Linked DNA regions of Xenopus tropicalis. The protein of the gene in region 1 interacts with the protein of each later gene in a pairwise test. Links are inferred from orthologs where the notes say so. Each region holds a gene or a part of one and is shown on either strand. Other genes may lie near its edges.

Region 1 (4,103 bases):
CAAACATAATTCAAGGAAGGATGGTCTTGGACCAGAAGTTGCAGAGTAGCCCATTTAACAGAATATTCAGAACAGCGAATCTCATAAAATCACTGGCTCTATTATTTTTACCACTTAAGGGGTTTGATTTTTTTTTACAGCAAGCTTCAATGAGTTTTACTTAGGAAATGCAGATACAGATTTCCCAGTTAAGTATGACTGATATATGCCCACCTTCTTATTTGTCATTATGAAAACAGCAGACATTTTGCATTCAATGGCACCAACTCAGCTTAAAATCTCCCTGAGTAAGTTCCACTGCCCTAGGAGAATTTGACAGAATGTCGTTTTGGCCCTGCTTTACCAGGATCCATTAGCAAAAAAAGAAGAATGTGATTAAAGTTTTTGATGGTAATGCAATATCAAACACCGTCTCAGGAAGTGACACACTTATTTTCTTCTAAATCACAGGTCCGCCCAATGAATAGCTTTGTTGAGACAAGCATACAAAATCCATCTATTATACTGGCAACCGAGAGTGCAGAGCAGTACAGAAGAACTTACACCTAAAGTTCTCTCAGGATGACGACTATGAGGTCAGAGTAAGCAAGGAAACTTCACCCATCAATTTGCTTTCCCCTCAGCTGAACCTACTTATACTCTTCCTTATCTCTTGCTAAATCAGCCACAGGGATTCCAAGCAGCAGTGAAGTAAATGTTAATGAGCCATTGAAATAAAGGCTCATTGATCCTGCTTTGTCTTGTGTGACAGTGGTTCTGATAGTGACAGGTATATCTGTATATCTAGTGTCCCTTCCATAAAGCAAGAATGGGTTTGTTATTTGCCACAAAGGAAACAGAAATAGTAACATGAATACCAGGAAACATTCCTTAGTGCAAGCATTAAAATTGGCAATATATCTTCCAGCTGTTAAGTTAAATGCTTCAACCCTCCCCGTTACCCAAAAACAAAACCCTACAGTAAGACTGCTGTCATGCCAAAAGCTAGTGAGATATACCCAATGCAGCTCCCCCAGGTGTGGCCCGATTAAGTTGCTTCAGATTCACAGTTGCAGTGGCAGGGCCAAAGAAATGGATCTTAGCAGCAGCAGGCACTGCCATCTTCACAATTTATTTATCTGCATGGAGATGTTCTATCACAAATGAAATCTCTGCCAAGTATGTGCTGCCTCTACTTTTGACTTAGGGGTTAATGGCAGATTGGGCACTTTCATAGCTGCAGGTCTTTAGATAATTTAGTTGGCTACTAACAGCCACTTTCTCCTTCTGACAAAGGGTATCACAATTCCTCAGTGAGGTCACCATAAGGGTAACATCACACCTTGTGCCTCATGTTCCAGCAGCAATGAAAGGCACCACACTGCAAGTCAGTACCCACATGGGGTTTATTTTGGCCTGAATGTGCAGTTGCATGTTTTCCAGCCAAAATTCAACCCATATTCCAACAGAGCGGATAGGCACAGCATTCACATAGAAAATATTGCAAAACCAGAAAGCATGAAAAAAAGAACTTTCTGGGGTTGCCAAACCGCATCTACCTGGGACCCAATGAGTGCCCACTATGAAGCTGTTTGGCGCACTATAAAAAGAGGAGGAGAACAAGATGATCACAAATCACTGTTTGGGGACCAATTCCCTAAGTGCTCACAGGGGAGCAAAACAGCAACTGTATTGCAGCCTGCCTGTAACAAACTCCATAACTTTTATAATCTCTATCAGTACTCTCTATGCCCACGCCTAACACCAATTTTGGATAAGGATGCTAATCAGGTATACAAATAGTTTTTTTTTATATGTTTTCTAACCCCCCCCACCCCCAAAAGGCTGTTAGAAAATGCCCAGTGTCTGCTCTCTACCTTCCTTTCAGTACCCTTGGAGACCTGGAAGCTACAGGCATGGGCAAAAATGCTGTAGGGGCCACTACAGAGCAAACATCAAAGGCCTTCCAGAATCCCAATAGAACTTGCAAAGTATATTGATTAGAGGAAGAATGAGCAGAACCCGTACAGCCAATGGGGATGGACATCACAAGTGGCCGGCCCTCCAGCAGTTATGATCGCGACGTTCCGGCATCCTCCACCAAACTACGGGTTATTTTAGCCGAGGAGCCAAAATCTACAAATTCTTTCCTGGTTTCTAAAAGGCCTTGATGCTGGCTGACAGCTTAGTGTACAGAACCAGCCTCTCCCTCCTACCCTCCCCCAGCAGCAGCCTCCTCCCTGCAGTATTTCCTCCCTGCTCCCCCCAAAAACCACCACCATCCGCCGATCTATCGGTAACACAGCTGATCTTAAAGCGCCCCCTCCCAAATTTGCTGTTTTAGGGTCCCGAGGGGCAAGTAACGAAGCGATCTTAACCTAAAGCCCCACTACAACTCCCAGCATCCCTGGCAGACTCACCGAATGCTTGAGCGTTCGGGCGGATAGACCCAAGTAAAAGAAAGCACAGCTAATGAGAATAAGCCTCACCTACCATGTCCAGTCCCCAAATTCCAGCGCACACAGCCAATACAGTCCCGGTTTACCCAAACATGTCAAACTCACGCAATTAACCCCACTGAGTTACCCTGCACAAGCAGCCCGCAACTGTACCCAGGGGCGCGACCCCCCATATACCAGATAGCCCGACAGGATGCGGTACCGGGCCGCTCCCCGTTCCTTGTTACAGAGGCCACACAGCAATTCCCTGCCCCTGCGCTCCCCTATATACCTCGCGTTGCGAACAGTTCCACTCCAGCCATACACTGCCCCCGAGTGAGGATAATGTTCCCCCCAAACAGCCAGCGCTCGGAAAGATTCCCCCCACTTACCCGCTCAGCCTCTCCCCTTCTCTCCACCGGGCGTTGGCAGCTACTCGCAGGGTTTCCTAGGCTTACAGGCAGGGGTCAGTATACGTAATGATGTCACGACGCTCTGGAGTGGTGACGTCATTGCACAATGCGGCGAAGAATTGCTGCAGGTTGACAAGGGAAGAATAAGCAGAACTGGTTTGTGGCCATCTTTATTGAGGGCTTTGGTCCTGCTGCTGTACCGAATACAAAGGTGATTTTACACAGCACCACAGAATTTTTTTGCGCACTGCTTCAAGAACATAGACTGGGGGAGCGGGTACTAATTCAAATCGTTCAAGGTTTTTTATTTGTCGTTCGCATTTTCAATCTAAAAATAAAAACCTGGGCGTGATTTGCCCGTATTGTGAAATGTCTGCCGCAAACTCATGATATCCGGTCAGGTGACTTCCGTATGAGCAAAGTAAAACACATTTGAAGTGACGATATTTAGGTGGGCTCAGATTTGGGGAAGTTTGGGTTAAATGGTGACAGTGACAGTCTTACAATACAGAAAGAAGTGGTGGTAGAGGGCTCCTTGCAGAGTGTTGGCCTGAAGCGAAAGACAGCGAGACTCAAGGTACAAAGGATTTACAGGACGTAAAAAACCGAGTCAGTGAGAATTGAGCTTGTCAGCAGTAGCTTGTGGGAGTTGTAGTTCTAGGACAGGTACTGAGCGCATATTCAGCTTTTATGTGGCGTACATGACTAGAAAACAAAAATATCAACCTCACCTAATAGGTACAATCATAGCTTTTATCTTTAGCCAGAAATTCAAGTTTGTATTAGCTCCAAGGTGGTTTTTATTGACGCATTGCAATGTAATATATAATTTTTTGAAATCAGTTCCTGTCTGGCCTTTGCTTTTCTTATCTGCTCATGCCATTGTCACATTGTATCAGTAGTCAGCTCTCCTCCAACCAAGACTTCACTTCCCAAATGCCTTGCAAGTTCTGTGATAAAGGGCTCTGGCACACGGTGAGATTAGTCGCCCGCGACAAATCTCCCTTGTCACGCAGGCGATTTCGGCAAATCGCGAAGTTGCCTCTCGAGGCATTTTCTAATCTCCCCGTGTGCCAGAGCCCTAAGGGTGAAGACACAGGAGCTACTAGTAGCAGCTACTTGTTGTGGCTACACAAGTAGAAAATGCTGATAATTTATTAATAACTGTCTCTATGTGTGTTTTAGCAGAGGCAATTGTCAGTATTGTCTATGGCAGGGTATTTTCTGGCGTTTATTAGCAATGTGTCTTCACCCTAAGGGCTCTGGCACACGG
Region 2 (3,654 bases), on another chromosome or scaffold:
ATAGATAGATAGATAGATAGATAGATAGATAGATAGATAGATAGATAGAGCAGGTTGAAGGCTATCCCATGATTCTTATTTCTCAGACTGAGCAATAAGATATAAAATTGGACACTGTATTACACTCATACTTCCCTTACATGTGTTAATTCAGTAACACCCAGACCTCCAAATGTTTTTCTTCCCCGCATAACAAAATAAACCAGCAATTTGATGACAAAGTTCAACTTACCTGTCTAAATAATTCACAATGTTGGGATTTTTATTTTCCCTCATGACTAAGATCTCGTTAATAATTAATTCTTTTTTCGGCTGTTGTTGCAGGTTCATTTGCTTAATCGCTACCTAAATTAGGAAAAGAAAAGGTCAGGCATGGGAATGAAAACATAACCATCTATAGATACAAAATGTTATGTGAAATTCCAGCAGTGCTTTTTAAAATCTTTGAAAGACAGTGAGCCTTAGAACAGAAATTATATGTGAGACACAAATTTCTGGCATGTCATGCCCCACTAATAGGCCAGGGAACAGAGGACTAAGATTGTCTTGGATACACTGGGAATTATTTAAGCTGTGCTAGTACAACAGCTTGCTGAGACACCAAACTATAAATGTAAAAATCCCTTACAGTATAACTGGTTACAAGCAGAAGTGCAACCTACCTCCTGTCCTGTAGCGATGTCTATTGCTGTGTACACTGTACCTGATGCCCTGGAATTAAATATAAAAAGAAACTAAAAATAAGAAACCAATGTTTGCATGCAAACACAAAAAAATGTCCCAGAGTACATATTGCTAGATACCCTATTCTGTTTCCTGTTCCCACTTATCATAGTGCTCTATTATACCGTACTTACCAAAGCAGTAATACCTACAGAGTATGCATGCACACTTTGTAGTTGTTAAGTTCTAAGCAAATATGTAATGAGTTCCCCCATTACTTATACCGTATGTATCTCCCAGGGCCCTAGTCCCACAGAGAAGTTCTAAGACATATGGTTCATATACAACACTGCTCCCTGCTGCTCCACTCACCCTGTCTTTGCTCATTTGTATGAATAAAACATGAAGTGATGTAAACCATAACCAGCTTACAAATCTACACAAAAGATGATTAAAACAATAAGTTCTATAAAACAAAATATCTAAATAAATTCATTTGAAAAACTGCATCCCTTAAAAGCCAATTTTTGGCCAGGGTCCCCTGTCACATAATAATGGACCAAATTCACATAATTGATATGGCTATCCTTGGTTGATATTGTTTATTTTTTTATGTTCAAGGCCTAAGCCTTTCTGCATACGCCTGCAAGTTGGTTTTATAACAGACAGAATACGTTTAAAATACATGTAAAATAGCTGCAGCTATTTGCTTTATCCCAGTAATCCGTCATTAAAGCAGATCTAAACTGAAAAAAGAAAATGAATGTAAATTTATACTGCTGGTTGTGAGTAATTTGTTTTTAGACTGCTAAAATCTGTACCAGGCTTTTGGTGCCATCTGCATAGCTCAGGGTTACCGACAGCTTTGAAAGTGTATTGCAGAGCTGAAAGCCTGGTATTAGCAATCTAAAACTGCTAAAATGTAAGAAACCACTCAAAATATGAGGTTACTGTAAACCTACAGTGCTCAGAGAAACACTTTTGAGTTAATTTACTTTCATTTCTGTAATGGGTTTAGACCCCCTATTATCTCTTGTTATATTTGCCTTGATTTAATATTATTCACCAACATTATTTATTCCTAAACTGAAAAATTAATTTGATTTAACAGTATTATTTTAAAGAATGTGTATAATGCAAAAGCCTAATCTGCCTGTAGCATACATTTTATTGTTCATTTTCCAGTCAATATAATTGATAGCCCAAAGAAATTAGATACAGTAGAATAAATGATGTCAATCTAACTTGTCTACAGAATGAGTCTTGCTGTGACCAATTTCCCTGCTGCCACAGCACAGCTGCATAAATCATTATTCAGATCCAGACACCTCAAATGAGATCATGCCATAAACTGCATACCTTCAAGTGGCCACTGTGGGGCTCTATAAGACTAGAAATGACATCAGATCAACAAAGATTTCCACTGCCTTGGAACATACTGTTCATGATAAAAGGTACAACAATAATCTCTTGAGATCTTATCATCATGGGGCTTACTATCTAGCACCAGTGCAGTTTACTGATTTTTTTTAGTGAAAATCCATGTATTTTCAAGTGCATAAAACACTGCTGTCTAAATTAGTCTGTGCTATGTAATGAAGGCCTATGGCTTCAGGGGAGGGCATCCTGTAGGATAAAAAGGTTGCTTTTTTTTTGTATGTCTGGCATTTTCTGGCATACTGTGCTTCTGTCTCTTTCAGACATGTTTTTCAGTAATACTTTCCCTTTAACAGGACCATATAGGACACTTTTGTAGTACAGGTATAGAATCTGTTATCTGGCTTGGAAGTTGAAGTTTTCCTGATAAGGTATCCTTCTGTAATTTGGACCTCCATACCTCTACTATAAATCACTGAAACAGTAAGTAAACCCAATAGGATTGTTTGCCCCAGCATGGATTCATGCTGCTCAACTGGGATCAAGTAAATAGGTACTGTTTTATTATTATTATACAGAAAAAAATAATATGTTTAAAACGTAGAATTATTTGCTTAAAATGGACTGTGGAAATGGCCTTCCCGTAATTTTGAGCTTCCTGGATACTGGTACTGGGTTTCCGGATAAGGGGTCTAATACTTGTATTGGTGTGTAGGAACCTGTCACAGCCTTTTAATTTCCCATGATATACATAATATAGGTATGGGATCCCTTATCTGGAAACCTATTATCAAGAAAGCGCTGAATTACGGAAAGGCCATCTTAGATAGGCTCCATTTTAATCAAATAATATTTGATCAAATCATCTATTTGATTAAATTGATCCCAGCTCAGATATAATTAATCCTTACTGCAGGCAAAACAATCATATTGGTTTTAATTATTGATTAAATGATTTCTTAGTAGACTAAAAGTATGAAATACACCTTATCTAGAAAACCCCAGGTCCCAAGCTTTCTGGATAACTGGTCCCATACCTGTACTTCTTCTGTGTACCATTGTAATACTTGACAAATAAATATGTATTAATTTTAATCCCTAAGTGGTGGCTACTTTGAGGCATACAGACAACACAAACAAAATAGCAGTGCAACAGGGAGTGAAACTAATCTCGTTTAGAACTTAAATAGATTATTTGACTTGCTCATACAGACGTAATAAGATATATTGCTTCCTGAGTAATTTTATTTTTTTTCCTTCTATCACTTTATCATGCAAGACCTAAAAAAAAAAAAACTTATGTTTGTGCAGAGCATTAAATGCTCACGATTTTGTGGGGGGGTTGCATTGCAATTGCATACTCTGCAATAAAACAGCCAAAATTATGATTGAAAAATCGGAATTTTGGCTCTTAAATTCACCAACAACTGCCTCCTCTGATAACTTGCGGGGGAACTGAAGCCTGATGCGAGTTTGTCAACACACCTTATTGCAGCAGTGCCCCTGAGCTTACCCGATCATCCTGTGTATATCAACCTTAACAATTTCAATCTCCCCCGCCTGTTAAACAATTGTCATTGATCTGGATAACAACTCTTGACTGCACATAATTCT
Region 3 (3,654 bases), on another chromosome or scaffold:
GTCATTCTGGGTAAGGACAGAAGAACAAAACCGACATTAAAAATGAAATAGAAAATGCTTAAAAGGAAGGGAAAGAAAAAAGAATAAAGTGAATAGCAAAACCAATGAGAAATATAGTAAATGAACAAAGATAAAACTAGAAGGCACAAATTTTAGAATAAATTCAGTAGGCACCCTACATAACCCTTGCTGAGATCAACCACTTAAATACTATGACACACTGGGCAAATGATTAAAGGCTAACCCAGAACTGGGTCTTCGTATGTATTTTGTCTCTGCATCTTCTTTTTGTCTCTGCAAATGTCAGGAGATTTCCGCTGATTATAATGATTTTTGCTAATGAGAAAAGTCTCAGACAAAGAGCACAGGCATTTTGAGTATTATTGACTGAAACCATTATTCACAACTTTTTGATGCAGTGTTAAACAGGCAGATAGGCCATAGATTAATATGCCCACACACATGCACTCTATACTTCCTCTGTGCACTGATTTGTTGGTTCCACCTTCTTATATACAAAGATGAAAAGTGCAATGTGCAGAATGCTCTGGAGCCTTAAAGGGGCACAGGTACAGGGCTTTCTTAGTGGTTTAAGACACTGCACTTGCTGGAAAACCCACACTGATGTTCATGCAATGTGCCTTTATTGGCAAAATGGCTGCAACACTTGCACCAGGATTGACAAATAAGGGTTTGTTTACTAAAATATTGTTTAGTTGCTACTAGCAAACTATCAGCAATTATCTGTAGCAGTTGATTACAAGTGAGATAATCAAAGCAAAAATCTGCCAAGGATAGCTGCACTGGGGCAATTTATTAGCTAAGAGATAAGGTAGCTTCAGGTGCATAATTTGCAAGGCTTGCAATTAAACTGTTACACTGTTGGTAAAAAATATTGTAAATTGTACCTATGAACAAATGCACACTGAACCACGTTAGTAAATAAACTTTTATATGGTAAAGTGATATAGAAATATGGAGTCATAAAGTTCCATCCTTATGCAACTAACTGTTCCCCAGTAAAGCAGCTTATTCTTTCATCCAGCACCAGTGGATGCCAGACTGCTGCCTACATATCTCATAAGCTCACTGCTTGCTGCCCAACAACCACTGCTGCAAAATGGAGACAGCAATCCATTAGATAAAGATGGCATTTTCTGGCTAACTGCATCAATTTAACACAGAAGTGAAAAGCTTGGGCCTCTGTAATGCATGTTCATACAGGTATAATAATGATAATATTATTTTATTGTTCTGGTGCAATTAATCCAGGAGATGATAATATGGCTTAACACTTTGCTATTCCTGGAAATATAACTGGAATACATTTAAAGTAACTAACATACCCTTAATGTGAGCTAAGATATTCTCTTAGAGTAATATAGACCAATATAAAACCAGCAAAGTGCTGAGACTGAAGAAACTGAAACTTTATATTGATTAACAGACATGATACCCAACATCAGAGGACAAAGCTAATAGAAAGCACTACTTAGCAGGTTCCATTACAGTCTCCATGATAGGTATAAAGTAACATGAGAAGCATGCAGGATGAGAGGGCAGCGCTTACATACAAAAATATAAAACTGACAACAGATATCCACTCTATTTCTCACCTTTTTATTGCACGCTACATTGATCAGGGAACAGCATTTCTTGTGACAGGCGTATCGGCACACTGAAATACAGCATTGTTTGATGAGAAGTTGCACAAAATCACAACTGTGTGTATGTGAACAATTTGTGACAGGTAGTTCAACACTAGCAGGTACAGTAGCAAGCTCTCAAGAGACAACACAACCATATTGTACTGAGTGACTCAATATAAATATAGACATACATGTTGGAGCATGACATTTTGACTAAAAAAGTTAGTATCTGCACTTAATAATCCACTGCAACCAATTAGCAACTTGCTTTGGTTATAGAACTACAAGTTGCTATATATGTTACTCTATGTTAGTCAATAAGCTGTTATATGGGTAGAATTCACACACTGAACCCAATATTTTGTAGATATGCACTACCACAAAATGAACTGCTTCTATGTCAAGGTCAGTCATACATTTGCAGACAGCAGCTCGATCCATGATCCAGATGAGTGAGGAGCAGTACTCGCAGTATGTTGGAATGTTGTACTGGGTGATTTTAAATATGTGACCATTATGTTCTTCTACCTGTAAAAGGCAAAGGATAGCAGAGAAAGCTTAGGAGACAGAGCAAAATTGCAGGAAAAAGAAGCAGTCAAGGAAGATAAGGATTCAGCTGGACTGTGCAGGTACAGGAACAGAGGAAATGAGTGAAGGTTTGTGCATGAAGAGGCAAAGAAGTGTGCTAGAAGTCTTTATAGAGAAGGGGGGAGCAAAGTGATAGGGTTTTTATGTGTTTTCTTGTTTGTCACAAGAATGGGAAACATGCTGTTAGGGTGTGGGCAGAGTGGTAGATAAAGAGATTACACTGGCAGGTAAACTTACAATGTCAGAGTCCTTTTTCCTCCTCTTTTTACGTTCTGTCTTTTGGATCTTGAAATAAGAAACAAAATAATGTAAGCAAATTATATCAGGTACTGCGATTCTCCTATTGTTGGGTCTCACTGCCATAATCCCTACAAGATGCTCCAGGTTTTTTAGTATTTCTCACTAAAGGCAGATTCCCAAATGCTAATCACCTCCCATTTCCACTGATCTAATGGTCCATCAAATGAAAAAACCTTGCTTGCCAGGCAGGCCCAGACTGGCAATCTGTAGATTCTAGCAAATACCAAAGGGGCACAAGTGAGATGCCATAGACAGTCACTCTTTAGTGGGCTGATCCGAGCTGATTGGGCCTCTATGTACTTAGATTGCCAAGGCCATTTCTGAGCCCCAGTCCTGGCCTGCTGCCAGGGATGGTGCAACATTTCCAGGGTAGTTTCCGTATCTGGCAGAGGAAAAAGGGCAATGCTTATCACTACATGTGTCTATTATAATGTATAGGCTAAGAGCCCACTGCAGTATTTAATACTCTATAGTTTCCTTGTGGCATACTGCATATGGGATATATGTATAACTTTATTTATAAAGCGCCACAAGGGTATGCAGCGCTGTACAATCTTACAGAATACAAAATTACACACAGGGAGGACAAGTGATATAATAAATAAATACAGTAAATATATATATATATATATATATATATAAGTGCCATGTGGTATGAGGCACAGTGGGAAGGAGGTCCCTGCCCCGTAGAGCTTACAATCTAAGTTTAATATCACCTGCATGTACTTTCCATCTAGTATTTGGTGGTGATCCTGGTCTCTGGATGCCTGACCAGACATCATCATATAACTCAGCACAAATAAGAATGGCACTCAAGTCAGTGAGTCTGTGGCGTAATGAAAGTGTGTAAATCCCTTAAATAAAGTTGTTCCTGCTGCTGCTAATAAGACATGGTGGAACTGCCTAATGTCCACTGAGCCTAACAGGTTTTTTTTTTTCATTTGTAGCACTACAGTATTTGGGTGTGAGGCTGTCAACAGTTCTGAACATGCCACTTCACAATTCTAATTTTTTAAACCGTAAAATTATTGCTAAAACAGAGGCATTTAATGCTCCATAAAGTTGGACCAAAGTTAGAAAACAGAGCAAACCTGGAAACCTAGAAGTCTGTAATCCA

Evidence for each region.
Region 2: the proteins of cdc42 (region 1) and pak3 interact in a two-hybrid assay, tested with the Homo sapiens proteins (2 studies listed by BioGRID and IntAct). The link is inferred for Xenopus tropicalis from reciprocal best matches to the Homo sapiens genes CDC42 and PAK3.
Region 3: the proteins of cdc42 (region 1) and myo9a interact in a two-hybrid assay, tested with the Homo sapiens proteins (3 studies listed by BioGRID and IntAct). The link is inferred for Xenopus tropicalis from reciprocal best matches to the Homo sapiens genes CDC42 and MYO9A.

What each region holds. Positions count from the first base shown.
Region 1 is NC_030683.2:94,443,434-94,447,536, forward strand, and holds the start of cdc42 (cell division control protein 42 homolog), read right to left. Parts: upstream 2,954-4,103; 5' UTR 2,810-2,953; intron 2,801-2,809; exon of another isoform or gene 2,710-2,800; intron 1-2,709. UniProt on the Homo sapiens protein: Plasma membrane-associated small GTPase which cycles between an active GTP-bound and an inactive GDP-bound state. In active state binds to a variety of effector proteins to regulate cellular responses. Involved in epithelial cell polarization processes.
Region 2 is NC_030684.2:51,559,549-51,563,202, reverse strand, and holds part of pak3 (serine/threonine-protein kinase PAK 3), read right to left. Parts: intron 712-3,654; coding exon 663-711; intron 346-662; coding exon 233-345; intron 1-232. UniProt on the Homo sapiens protein: Serine/threonine protein kinase that plays a role in a variety of different signaling pathways including cytoskeleton regulation, cell migration, or cell cycle regulation.
Region 3 is NC_030679.2:91,972,100-91,975,753, forward strand, and holds part of myo9a (unconventional myosin-IXa), read right to left. Parts: intron 2,523-3,654; coding exon 2,475-2,522; intron 2,178-2,474; coding exon 2,066-2,177; exon of another isoform or gene 2,028-2,065; intron 1,679-2,027; coding exon 1,617-1,678; intron 7-1,616; coding exon 1-6. UniProt on the Homo sapiens protein: Myosins are actin-based motor molecules with ATPase activity. Unconventional myosins serve in intracellular movements. Regulates Rho by stimulating it's GTPase activity in neurons.